Linked DNA regions of Medicago truncatula. The protein of the gene in region 2 interacts with the protein of the main gene of each other region in a pairwise test. Links are inferred from orthologs where the notes say so. Each region holds a gene or a part of one and is shown on either strand. Other genes may lie near its edges. The genes, in order: calcineurin B-like protein 7 and CBL-interacting serine/threonine-protein kinase 6.

Evidence for each region.
Region 1: the proteins of CBL-interacting serine/threonine-protein kinase 6 (region 2) and calcineurin B-like protein 7 interact in a two-hybrid assay, tested with the Arabidopsis thaliana proteins (2 studies listed by BioGRID). The link is inferred for Medicago truncatula from reciprocal best matches to the Arabidopsis thaliana genes SIP3 and SOS3.

What each region holds. Positions count from the first base shown.
Region 1 is NC_053044.1:45,064,156-45,072,020, forward strand, and holds the start of calcineurin B-like protein 7, read right to left. Parts: upstream 3,246-7,865; 5' UTR 3,041-3,245; intron 365-3,040; exon of another isoform or gene 85-364; intron 1-84.
Region 2 is NC_053045.1:62,830,517-62,837,603, reverse strand, and holds CBL-interacting serine/threonine-protein kinase 6, read right to left. Parts: upstream 2,415-7,087; 5' UTR 2,104-2,414; coding exon 796-2,103; 3' UTR 589-795; downstream 1-588. UniProt on the Arabidopsis thaliana protein: CIPK serine-threonine protein kinases interact with CBL proteins. Binding of a CBL protein to the regulatory NAF domain of CIPK protein lead to the activation of the kinase in a calcium-dependent manner.

The DNA.
Region 1 (7,865 bases), on a different chromosome or scaffold from region 2:
ATATATATATATATATTAATGATTCATTTCTTTGTCAAGTTTCATATAACAAAAATAATTTAGTAATGATATTAAAATGCTTACATAACAAGAAGAGTGCACCAACTTGGTTGTAAATAGCTACAACAACGAACTTATATAACTACATAAAAGAGGCATACAAATTCAGGAGTACCAAACTTCACCGGGCATTCGGTTATGTTATTTATATGAACATGTGAAAGCAACATTAAACCTTTAAATACACGTTTGCCAAAGGTAAGTAGAAACATATGAGTTGGAATTGAATTGACAAGCTTATCCCTACTGACCAATACCATACAACTCACAACTTAATAAATAATATTTAGTTTGCAGAAAAACTCAAAGCAAATCAAGAAAGAAATTAAAATACTGGTTTCTTCTCTCGGTTTATTTTATTTTGAAGAAAATAACAGAAAAAAAACACGAGGTAAAACAACTTTGATGACTCAATCATGATACGATACTTTCTTCAAACTCGGTATCAAATCTATTGATTGATTAATAGGAGGCACCAGTTCATGATGCAATATTTAACTGAGGGTCACATCTATTTCTTAAAAAAATTATTCGTACATGTTTTGATTGATGGTGAATTTGACGAAATCACGGTATGATGAAGTCGGCTAATAACACTATAATCCAAAAGAAAACACGTCTCTATCCGAGTCTTTAAATGGAGTCGGCTAAATTTGTTTGATTGCTCAAAATTGTTGCTATGTTTATTTTCAAAATAAAAAAGGACACGATATGTCATGTATCACTCGTATGGAGGAGACAAAGACATAATATAAAAACAACGGAATTTGTTTTATTTTGCTAAAACAAGAAAGGATCCTACTCCATGGTTTAAAGACACCATTCATTACAGCCTCGTATAATTTGGCCACGTTATTTTTTGTTTGATTTGTAGATGAAGTGAAGTGATACATACACACTATCTAAAGTTGACGTATAACTATGATGTTTTATGTTAGAATGGTGTCCGATTTAATAATATCGACAATTATCATTTGAAATATAACTTATGGATTTCAAGCAACTTTTGACGACTTTATTATGGGTTTTTCTATCATGTATAAATTTATTATTTTAAACTTTTGAATATGTGCAAATTAATTAGCAAATGATTGAAAAAACCCATTATAAATTAAAGGAAAATCCGTCAAAAAAAATTAAAAGAAAAGAAAGGTTGTCATGTGCATGATTCACGCAAGAGATGGAGCTTTAATAACACAGTCAGAGAAAACTTAATTAGGTGAACAGATTATAGGCCTCCCCCACTTGCTTATAAATAACACAACCTTAATTAATAATCAGGCAATTCTAATCAAGTACAAGTAGGAGATGTACATTTAGCCTTTAGAGCCGTTAGAGTACATGGGTAGTCATCCTCATTAGTCATTATCCCTACCTCATCTTACTTTGACAATATTTGGTTGGCAGAAAAGAAGAAAAAAAGAGGTAAGAGATGACGGATTATACAAAATAAAATAAAAATGAAGTCACTCCCTTAATATTCACAAAAAAGATACGAAATTCAAGTTGCTCCTCGAGGATAGGAGACATGGCCTCAAACAACAAGTGAAGGGACAAGTCACTCTCTCAAATATATAAAAAAAAAAAAAAATTAGATTTTGGATGAGAAGGATACGTCCTTTCATAAATATAAAAAAACAAAACAAAATACCTTAAAATATGAGCACTCAGAGGCCAGAGAAATACATGTTTGTTATATTTCTTACGTGTCTTTGCAACGATCATCATACAATTTTATGGATGAGGAGTCTTAAAGAACACTTTTTTTTAACTTTTTTTTTAATACTTGCTCTTTCATTGAGTGAAATTTTATCATTTTATGTGGAATTCATTTTTAAAATGAGAATATTACGTTGATTTCATTCAACAAAAGAATAAGTATTAGAGAAAATGTTGAATAGAGTGTGATTATAAGACTCTTCTTTCAAGGATGTCCACAAGTAAGATTATGTTGTAAATGTTAACGGAACATCGGAAGATGTGTTTAGAATCTCACATTAGTTGAGAATCCTTAAAATATGTGTCTTTACAAGTTCTAGCCCTGCCTCTTATAAGAAGAAGTCCCCCTACCATTCCTTCGACGGCTCCGCTAGTAAAAAACAGTAAAGGCCGTCGGAATAGTACTCTATTTGGCAGGCCACTTTATTCACGTGAAACGTGAGAACTACAAAAATGGGTGCTTCTTTCTTTCTATTATTTTCTTCGTTGTTTAGTCAAGACTATAAAAAGTTGTGGGGGCTCACTTCACAATTTTTGGATGAGAATTGTTATTTGTTATAATTTTACGATAATTTTTGAACAATTGTTTTTTTTTTCTGAATATAAAGAGTGATAAAGAATATTGTGACAGAAGTTGTCAAATATGTTATATCAATTATCATTACTCTTTCTGATGTCCCTTTCTTTGTCAACCGACAAACTACATAACTTTTCACACTATTCTCAGGCAGCAAGCACAATTTGAATTGTCAAATCATTACTCATATATGTTAGGTAAAGAAATATATTAGATATATAGTAGGAAAATCAAATAATTTGCAAAACACTCTTTTACTAACTTATACTCTTTAATTAGTTGAAATTTAGTGTATACACTTTGAAAATTACCAGCATGGATTTCATAGGAGAGTGAGTGTTAAAGGAGTGTTTCTAATATTTTTCAATGTAAAATTTATGGCTAAATTTATTAATTCCAATCAACTATAGAAACAAAATCAACATTTTATTCCATCTAATCGAAAATACCTAAAATTTGATATCTATAGAAATTAAAGGGAATGATATTGAAATTTTCACAATGCACAAAGGACAAGAACAGAACAAATGTTTGTTTGAATAGATAGAACTCATAATAAATAACAAGAGGCAATATTAGGTGAAGATGCTTAAAATTTGAAACAAGATCCGATATTAGGTGAAGATAGTTTAATAATGAAAGTGCATGAACACAGATAGAAAAAGGGGAAAAGGAGATACTGACCTGTACAACATAACAGGTGAGGTCTGGAGTGGTAATAAATAAATCTTGATATTTGCTTTCTCGTATGGGAATGGGAATTGGAGATAAAACGTAAGTAAGTCCTATGTGTTGTTGCCGGAGAAGTAGCGTCTATTCTAAACGGTTAGACTCTAACCTCGGGCTGCTTGCCACATTTTGAATTGGAAATGGAATTTAGAGCCGCAACATTTTCAACTTTTCTCATTGATTATTTATTTATTAATTAATATGTATCTTCCAGCTGGCTGATTGCCACATCCCCATAATTATTTGACTAAAACTCACCCCTCCCTAACATATTAAACAATTTAATTGGTTATTTGCCTATTTCAAACATCAGAAAGGGTAACAACACTAATTTTTTAACACTCTTTTCACATTCGGTTTATTGGATGTAATCAATATATGTCTCACTATTTTGTGTGAGTTTAATTTTCAAAGTGTAGATCCACAGTTATTTAAATCAATAAAAGAATAATTATTAAAGAGTGTTTAAAAAAGTGCTGCTAGCATTACTCTTTCACACATATATTAAGAAAAATTAATTAGTGAAGGAGAGAGAGAAAAAAAATAGTGTTATTGTCATAAATATAAAGTGGAATATATCTTAAGTATTCATTCACCATTATCATCAATGTAAAGTGGACTATGTTGAATTGAAAGTGTTGAAAGTAGTATTAATTAAAGTTATAATTAATACATAAAAAATAAAGTTATAATTGGAAAAAGTAATTAATATTGCACTGAAGAGTAAAATATGTTGATTACTTTCAACAATATTTTTTTTTAAAAATGGTTACTTAATATGGGACAAAGGAAATAATTTTTTAATGTGAATTAGTAGAATATACGGGGTTCAAACCTTATTTTGATGTGAATTAATATAACAATATATTGTAAGAAAAAAATAATATATTGTCTCTGTCAACTGAGGTATGCTTACGATAACAACTAAAACTCTATTTAGATGGATGGAATCGGTATAGTTCCTCTTCATATATATTAAATAAATGTTTTCTAAGGTTCATATTGACTTCAATACCGTATTATCTCAATTTTTTTTTACCAAAATAATAATAATAATTTGATGCATTTAATAATCAATATATTTAATTTATAACATAGACCGTATATATATATATATTATTCAATTAATCCTAAAAAGAAAAATTGCTTATAATTTAGACCAAAATGAGTAGTCTATATACCAAGAAAATACAATGCATCTTATTATTTTTGTTTTCCTTTTGACTTGGCTTTGATTAAGCTATTGTGAAACGGTCCCAGGGTTAGCCAAGATAACTTATCCACTTGTTGATTTCTCATTTTCACAAAATGTCTTCCGATTAGTATTTTTTACTTGAGTATTTGTCTTCCGATTAAGCTATTTGATTAAGCCCTCGTTTGGTGTTTATGCATTGAACAATAGGCGAGATCTCAACTTGCACACCTAAAAAATCTCATAAGAAGACATCACATAGACATTCATATTCATACACATAAAAATCAAAGAAACAAATGAAACAATGAGCTCGCGATTTGTTTCGTATAAAATGAAATATTCGTTTCTTCCTCTTTTTTCCACTTGGGTATACAATTTGGGGTGATAGACAGATAGTAGTCTTCACACTACACTAAAATAAAAAATAAAAAAAACATCTTTATATCTGCAACACTTAATCTAATATGTTAAGGAGAGGCTAAACATATATCTGCAACACTTGTGACGACGCAGCTTTTGCAACATTGACTGAAAATATATTTTTTCCCCTTGATTTTTACAAGTAAAAATGTATATGTATTTGATTCAAATATATGTATTCTTTTTTTTTTTTCTTTTGTAAAAAACTGGAGTAGTACTCCGCAACTAAATTTGGCGACCAACAATAATTACATGAATTGTAAAGAAATATTTGCACAAACTATACACATGTTTGGATCTGCGCCGGTTTTGAAAAATTACGGAAAGACATTGTAACTTTGAAAAAATTAAAATGTGCTCCAACCCAAAAGGTTAAAATGTGGTAATTTACCTACCAACTAATGAAAATGAGCAATTTATTAGTGGAGTTAAAATAGTTCATGGATACTACCTAAAAATGTGAATGTTCATTGGTTGAGGTAAATTATCCGTCATTCTTCCATGGGTACATTAGTTGTCACCTCAACAAAATCAAGGTTTTATTGTAATTTTGTCAAACTTACATTGTTTCTAAATGTGCATTACATTAATATTCACTAGGGCTGGAAATGAGTCGAGTCGAACCGAACCTGCCTGAGCTCGGCTCGACTCGATAAGAATTGGTTCGACTCGAGTTCGACACGAACTATTTTTTCAGCTCGAGTTCGGCTCGTTTGAAGGTCACGAACTTCGGTTCGGCTTGTTAGGTTCAGTTCGGTTGCTCAACTCGTCCAAAAATAATTATAAAAAAAAAAAAATTAATTTATAGATCTTTGATATTATATATATATATTTTAAAATTAAATATTAAATTAAAATAAAAGTTCCCACAAGCATGCATATAATAGACATAAATTATATAAAGTTAAATGTTGCATAAATACGAAGAAAAATATCTGATACAAGTAACAGAGACAAAAAAATCCAACAAAATTCAATTAGCTGTGAACAAAATTCATAATATTCTTTTACTTTTAAACTCCAACTGCTCTTCCCTTCAAGACAAAATTGTATTCAGCCACATTTGCCTCATTTGAATTAATTTTTTTTAAAAAACTAACTCAAATTGATTTATATATATAATCGATAATCGAGTCATCTCATGAACCCAACGAGTCGAACTATATGTAGCTCAAGTTCAGCTCATTTAATTAACGAACTTAATTTTCAGCTCAAGTCCAGCTCGTTAGGTTCATGAACCAAGTTCAACGGATTAAATATCGAGTCGAATGTCGAACTATAATCGAGTTGGTCGGTTCATTGCCAACCTAATATTCACTTTAGTGCAATTGGTCATCGTGAGGAACTACATGTTTCAATACGAGCTTTTTAGCGTCTTCTTAGTTCATTATTGTTTTGCTTAGTAGTATAAAGATAGTGAGAAGAGATCAAGACAGTGCGAGAAGAGAGAGTCGTAGTTAATTTTGAAAATGACAAGAGTGCCTTTAAACTAAAAAAAAATATATAATATATAATTTGATAGTAATTTTTAATAGAACTATTATTAAGTCAATCAAAATGCTAACAATGCAACAACGAAGACAGACCATTTTTACAAAAAAAAAATTGATATTTGAACAATCATTTCTAAGCAACTTTTATGATAACTCACTTTTATATTTTTATTGTAATTTTATTCTCATTCTTTTCTTTTCTCTCTCTATTGTTATTGTCTAATAAAAAGAGAGAAAAAATGTTGTCACTAGAAGTTGTTTAAAATTTGTAGTCAAAATATCATTCCTCTTTTCCCGACATCCTGACTATCTCTACCTTCCAATAACATGATACCTTCATGGATCGAATCTCCCACACAAACATTTGTGTCTCTTTGAAATAATACTAACTTCCTACATCATGAACAGAGTATCGAGAGTGTCAAATGTTTCTCTTCCTCACCAATTTTGTGATGGGAGAGCCATTAGGAGTAGATTACAAAATTGACAGAGGTATTGTAGAGAAAGACGAGAGAGTCGTCGAAGTAATAAATGAATAAGGGTATTTTTGGAAGAAAAAAAACTTAATTACTTCTATCACAACAAGCATTTCTCCGCACTTGAGCGAAGAAGCCAAAACTACGTGGGTCTCGTCTACTTCTTTCTTTATTTGATATACCTTTCCTCAACCAAACGAAATAAGTGTCATATTTATCCTACCTTTCTCTCCCTCTTACTTCTCTCTCAAGACGAACTCTAATATGGACCAACTTGACAATTGGTCCATTGTAGATCAAGATATCCTTTACCTTAACTCTCCCTCACGGCACATTCTCCTACTCGACTCTCATCCACTGTTTCGACTAACCTTACGACCAAAAGCTCCGATTTTCTTCTACTATCTTCAAATGTTCTCCTAGTATACCAATCTCCATTGGACATTGCTACCCACATGTAGGGATGTGCAACATATTCAGGTACATGGAAAAAACATCATCCAAATAATCTCGTCGAGTTTTATAAGCCCATTTTTTTTTTTCCGGATATCCAAATTCAGAACAATATTTTTTTAAACCAAAAGCCATATCCCCTCTCTCTCAATCGACATTGAGTTTTGTTTTATTTATCCATGAATTCACCAACAACCACAACTATTGATCTTAAGTTTTTTTTTATTGTTTCGTATTTTTTCCCTTCTTGATCCAACTCGCTACTTTATTTTCGATGGAATCAAAAAAAATTGTAAATACTTTGGATTTTCAAAAAATGAACAATGTAATCTTGATATAAAGACGGAGACAAAAGGATGTATTATACGAAAGATGGAGTCAGTGGGTAATGAGAACCAATTATTTTTTAACTCTATTGATTATTTTTTATCAATGATTTTTTTTGACAAATCAATTATTTATATATTTTATGAAATTAGTTTTTTAGATCAACTTATTTTTGAAAAAATAGAATTGTGATCTTATATGAGACATCATTATCGTCTTATGCTTCATTAAGACCTCAGTCTCATTAGGTATTAAAAAAAATCTTTAATGTAGGTACCTCATAAGCGCCAAGTATGTGAGATTCTGTTCCTAGTCTTCCTTCTATTTGGTCGAGGTTGAGTGTTCTGATGGGAGGTTGGTTGGTTGTCTAGTGTTGTTTTAGTTTTAGTTTCACTCTTGTTTTCTTTGGGAGAGAT
Region 2 (7,087 bases):
AAGCTGAGTACCAAATAATGCAGTGACCACAAATGTTTTTCTTTGATGTTTTCTTCTTCACCAACTATGTTCAATAATTGTATAGTTCTCGACTTTCAATAATTGATGTTTATCTTCTTTCAAAAAAAAATAAAAAATTGATGTTTTTCTTTAATGTTTTTTCAATATATATATATATTTTTATAATTCATTTAAATGGAGTAATAAAATTTGTGAACTAAAAAGTTATCAAAGAAACAGTTAATTTTTTTTTTAATCAAAAACATCAAGACCACAAAACTTATGGTTGAAGAAAATGACATGCACATGTTCAAAGTGAGTTTGGTCCCATCCATGTGCTCTTCAATGCAGCCTCTCAAATATGATATTCAGCAAGTTGAGGCAATCCTTCACGGGTTGGGAATTTGGGATGGTGGTGGTGTAAACCAATAATTCATTCCTCATAATCTTGATTGTATATGGATGAAGCAAAATTATGATATTTTAGCAAGTTGATGCAATCCCTCACGGGTTGAAGCAAGTAAATCAAATTCCTCAATAATATCAAGTCTAGACGACGGATGAAGCAAAATGTTACTAAAACAAACAAAAATAAAAACCAATTATTATACATAAAATTAATATCACACACAAACAAGACAAGGAATTTTTAGTCGATTAAGATACAAAAGCAGAAACATACATAATTAAAACAACACATGAAGCTCCTCCTAAACAAGAATTATTACAAAGAGAAGAATGAGACATAACATAAGTAAATTAAACAAACATTATGATTAATGATGAAAAAATTCATCAAGCAGCTGGAGGGTCAGCAGAAGTCCAGAAAATATCTTTCAAAGCAGGACGAAGCTCTTTGCTACAGAACTGATTATACTCCAAAGTATCACCCTTATCTTTCTTCACCTCCACCACCAGAAACGACGGTGTCACCGCGTAAATATCCGCTGCAATAGCCAACTTTCCTTTCCTCCCTCTTTCTTGCCCTTGAAGTCTCACCTTCGTATCACTACTCTTCACATCAAATTTCACCGCCTTCGCCACTTGTTCCAGTTTCGATATCACTCTACTCGGCGTCCCACCCGTTGCAAATCTCATCTCCTCCCTCTCTTCTCTCTTCTTCTCTTCAAACAACGGAGACAAATCAAATCCTTCTGATAGTGAAATTATATGAAAAGCATTCATTGTCGTCGATGATTTCTCACACTCCATAAATTCAAACACCTTATCTTCTTCCTCTTCTTTCTCCTTCTTCCTCATCGCTATACTCTTTGGAACCGGTTTCTTAAACCAACTAGAATCCATTATCTTCGATATGGATATTCTTGTATTCGGATTCGGATCTAGAAGCTTTGTAATTAACCTCCTAGCTTCCAAAGAAAACCACGGTGGACATTTGAAATCACCGCGGTAAATCTTCTTATACATAGCAACCAAATTATCATCCTGAAACGGTAAAAATCCAGCCAGAAGAACGTAAAGAATAACACCACAAGACCAAATATCAGCCTTAGCACCGTCGTAACCCTTCTTCGCGATAACCTCCGGCGAAACATACGCCGGAGTACCACATGTGGTATGCAACAATCCATCTTGTCTCAAATGTTCAGAGAAAGTACAGAGACCAAAATCAGAGACTTTGAGATTACCGTCTTCGTCGAGGAGGAGATTCTCCGGCTTGAGATCACGGTGGTAAACACCGCGACTGTGACAGAAATCAACGGCTGAGATCAACTGCTGGAAATAGACTCTAGCAACGTCTTCTTTGAGTCGACCTTTGACGATTTTGTTGAAAAGCTCTCCACCGCGAACGAGTTCCATGGCGATATAGATCTTTGATTTGGAAGCCATGACTTCGTGAAGTTGAACTATGTTAGGGTGTTTGACCATCTTCATGACAGAGATTTCTCTTTTGATCTGTTCAATCATTCCAACTTTAATCACTTTTTCTTTACCAACTACTTTCATGGCTACGTTTTTTCCAGTATTCAAATTCTTGGCGTGGTAAACCTTAGCAAATGTTCCGTGACCGAGTACTCGACCAAGCTCGTATTTTCCATCGAGCAGAGCCGAGTGAGAGTTAGGGTTTTCCTTTTCACACATAGTTAGTATTTACAAAGTAATAGAAGAAATATGAAGGAAGAAGAGATGAAGATGGAGAATAGATCAACCGTCTTCAACGTGTTTGCGGTGGCAATGTCTACCGCCAATGATTCGTTTTGTAAGAATGCTTACAACTTCAGATGGAGAGAACCGATAGCAATGGCCTCTCATCTCTCTGCATTCCTTCGCTGTAGACAGACAGATACAGAGAATTATGAAAACGATGAAGAATGATTTAATTGGTTAAGAAAGGGTTGAAGAATTGTGTTTGGTTTCGACAATAATTCTATATTATTACTGACTTATATTAGGTTTGGTTTTATAATACGGCGGTGCTGGTTGGTCTCTGCTTTCGTTTTCATTGTCTCAATTGATTGGTGATCTGACGGTTCTCTCTCAAAGACAGATTAGGTGATGGTGGACACGTGTATGGACCATTGTTCTTGTCTTTTCTTCTCACCGCTTCAACCGTTTTTTTTTTTTTTTTATGCGACGATGAAATTAAACCGAATCAGTCTTTTTCTTTTGGTTTGTTTGTTTGTTTGTTTTCATTTTTATTTAATTGATATACTTTATTCTCATTTCTTAATTCAGAAGTATTAAATAAATGATAATAATAAGACATAGAATCATGATTGATTAGGAAAGGAAACCAAAACCGCGAGAGAAATACTTTGAATCATGATTGATTCATGAATGAATGAATGGTGTGCAGTGCTGCTCGCCATAGAAGAAGACAAACCTATTTTGTTTTGTTAATTATTATGTGTGACAGTGTGTGTGTGTGTGAGTGATTGATAATATAATAATACTGGTTGGTTAGTATATGAATACTGCTAGAATGGATAGATTAGATAGATGGAATAATGAATAATGTTATTTTGTTTGAGGTAGGAGGTTTGAGTGAGACATTGACATGACGTAAACGATGGTGGAGCCTGGCTGTGGGGCTCGCTGCAACTGCAAACCAGCAATTAGATTTAAAACAAACAGTGGATGATCGGTTTTTAAATTTGTGACAATCACGTAATAGCTCGTGGCACTATGTCACTGGCTAGCAACGACAACTAACAGGTAGGTAGGTCTCTCGAGACGGACCCGACTCTTCTGAAGCGAGCTGCTCACTTTTTTTAAATCAAAGAAGAGGTGCTACATTTCATTAATAATCAAGGGATATCAAGTAGAAGAAGATATGTCATGAAAGATATGAGATTAGGATGAGATAATATGGTTCTAGCAATATAATAAGATATCATATTTGTTTGTCTCTTTATAAACGATACTACATAGTCGAAATTATTAGATAAGAGACTCTTACATATTTCAGATACCAAGTCATCAAATTTATTACATGGAACATTGAGAGCTTGAAGCGCAGCTACCAAAGTTTTGCTATCCGTTTCAAACATAACATTATGCAAATCGTTGGATATCGCCATTTTGAGAAAGTGGAGAAGACCAAGGGATTCCGCGTCTAAGACAGAAGATAAGTGCAAGTAGTTAGATTTAATTAATAATAGAGATCATGTTGAGTCTCTAAAGCATAAACCATAAGCCATAATAGAGTTATTATGGAAATTGGTCGTGTCAACATTGCATTTGATGTGGCCGGCCTGTGGCTTGGTCCACGTCCGTTGCTGATCTTGGGGGCTTGCCGGATGCTTAGCTCGTTGCATGCAGCTCCATTCGTGTAGCACATCATAAGCACAAGAGACAATGAGGGTCAGTGAAGTGTTTGTAGCCTCCCAAAGCTTGGTATTACTACTCTTCCACAAACTCCAAAGAATTATGGCAGCAAGAGATCGGTCTTGATCTTGCTCCTGTGATAAAAACCAATTTTATGTGAATGTATCTAAACATAAATTTACTTTAGTTCTATTCACTTTTATTCAAAATCAGTTCTTTTTAACTCGATTCTATCAAACTAATTTTAATTACTGCATAACCAAACACAATCTAATTACAGCTTCTTGATGGACGCACATTTCCTACATTTTCATCGCTGAAGCAAACTTATCAGAAGTGTATAATAATTTCTTTCAATCATCTGAAATATAAAACTGTTTCTTGATCTCGTAGATATGCAGAGATTTGCTACCTACTTGATCAATAGTTAGTGTGGCTCTTATAACTACAAATTTTGGAATAATTAATACATTTAGCATGTAATGGAATGTGCATTTGGACTGGATTGAGATGCCACCATGTGAAATAATGCATTTCAAGTGAACTGTTTGCTCGTCTTCATATATAGTCTCTTCTTTTTTTGACGCAATCATTATAGTCAACTAAAAATATATAATCATCTTCATGTCCCATTTTTTTTTTTATTTAAACTTTAAATGTATATGATTTTTTTTTCCTCCTTTAAACATACAAGTGAGACGACATATAAATCTAATATCTTGAGGTTTTTAGTGAAGATACAATGTCTATCATTGTTGTTAAAATTGCGTGTTAAAATGTAAAATTGCCCAATTTTACAGTTTTAAGAGTGAATTTTCGATTAGATTAATTGGTTGTCAAATCAATTTTGAGTGAAACATAAATTTAACCCGAGTTAATTTATTTTAGTTTTACCCAATTTGGAAGAATTTTTTTATTGATTTGTTTTAACCTTTAATAACTTTAGAAACTTTCCATAAAAAAGAACTTTAGAAACTTGTCAATTTTTTGTTTTTTTAGATGTTTTTATGATTTGGTGGGATAGTTTATGTTGTTTGATGAGCATGACACTTTATTATAATGATTTTATATATTTTTGTTTTATAATTAAGTTGAAATTTTAAATTATTGATGCATCTATAAATAAGTACATGAGTATAATACATGTTATTGTTATGCATATAAGGTAAATTTGTATAAATTGATTTCACCATATTTTTATTTCAATTTCATCCGTGTAATTGTTTTTAATTCAATGCGATGGTCCATCAACTCAACACAAAAACATTCATTTGATATATATCCTCACCTCACCTGCAAATGATGCAATGTCTTTGGGAAGTCACCATCTGACCCGCGTGCTAAGAAACTTCTGATTTTGATCATATGATGATATGCACCTACCAATAATTTATGGGAAATGTTAACTGGTGTTCCGGGGGCACTGGTTAAGGATATAAAAAAGGAAATTATATAGTAGTTAATGTATTGAAATTGTGTAATTAATTTATAATAAAGTCAAAAACAATTTTCTTTTAGGATAATAATTCTCTCTTATGATATGCTTAACCAGTGTCCCGGGGCACCGGTTAGCAGGACTCATAATTTATTTATTTTTATTACAACACCTATTAAGAATTTAAATATGAAATTGAAAGGTATGTACAATAATTGACAGACATTAATATCAAACCAAAAGAATAAATAACCAATTGTTTTTTCTCATACATTTTTTTATAACATTATTCTCATACTAATTTATACACACTAATTGAGGACATGCTGATCACAGCATTGGTGGGTTTACTATATGATGATGATGATATTGTAGATGTAGATAAAATAAGTTAATTAAATTTAGGAGTATTAGATTAGACAAGGAATTGAAATATTTTTTTAATGGCAATCGGGGTTATTTTTTCAGAATCCACTCTCCATTCCCGCCAGCCATTTTTAAAACAAGAACATGTATGGGAAAAAAATAACCTTAATTATGGTGTTTTAAATTACACAGGGATGTACTATTTGAAAGTTATGCTTCAAAGTCAATTTGTTTTTTTTTTTTGTGTGGTGAAAGTCAATTTGTTTTTTGTTTTTTGTGTGGTGAAAGTCATTGTGTGTGTTTGGTACGGCGGTGACGATAATTGATTTTGACATAATTGAGTTTAAAATAATTGATTTTAGTCAAAAGTGTGTTTGATGTGAATTGATATATAAAAGTGATTATTTCAAGTTGATGTTGTTTGGATACTTTAAATTAAAATTGATTTTGGATGTTTAATTACCACCGAAATGTACAGTAGTGTTTCCAATCCCCTCCAATTTCATAGTGCAATTCAAGGCTTTTCAACAAACGCATAAGTGCATTTCCATACAGGTCCCTAACAAAACCAAAGTCCCATACAACAGTCCCTCCCAAAGCTAAAAAAGGAAAACCATAGGTAGCAAACCGCAGCACATCACCACTGCCAACACAGTTGAACCACAACAGTCTGCTGTCTGAAAACCGCACTAGTCACAACCTTAAAGCTTTCGTCTCACTAACCACAGACAGCTTTGTATTCCATTGTCTTCTGAATAAGTTTTACCTGAAACAAAAACATAATTTTTTATAAAATTAGCATCTCCAAAGGACCACCTCCCAATATTTATTAGGATATGTACATCATCGTCATCACATAAAGTAGTATATTGATTTGATATCCCATGGAGACACTTCTTTCTTTCAGATGGGATTAAATCGACAAACAATGTTCTCTTGATACAATATCGTAGTCAAAGAAAACTATCTTAAAACTCAATTCATATTACTTGATGAAGAAGGGGCAAGGCCTAAACAGATCAAGATAATTGAAAACACAACATAAATTTTCAGGAAGGAGGAATACTAACCTGAACAGATTGCTTTTTCAGACTTCTAATATGTTCAGTTATTTAATCATGTGTGAACAATTCAATCAAGGAAACATCATCATTGTCTTGATCAGCATCTGTCCCCTCCTGGTTGAATTCAATCCCATCTTGTTTGTGCTCTATATCACCACTAAACACTTGACCACTAAACACAAAGAACGCCAACTGAAAAACACAAATGCAGTCACCGCGACACATACTTAATCAAAATGGGATTTGAAACAAATATAATTAGCAAATAAACTACACTGATTTAAAAATTACCAGAAGTAGCAAATAGAAGCAGTGATCAATATGGTTAAGCTGAAGTATTAAAAGAAGCTCATTGATGTATGAACTCTGGCAAATGAGAAGTAAGTGATCTCAGAATATTATTTGACCAATCAAATGTGATCCAAATTAAATA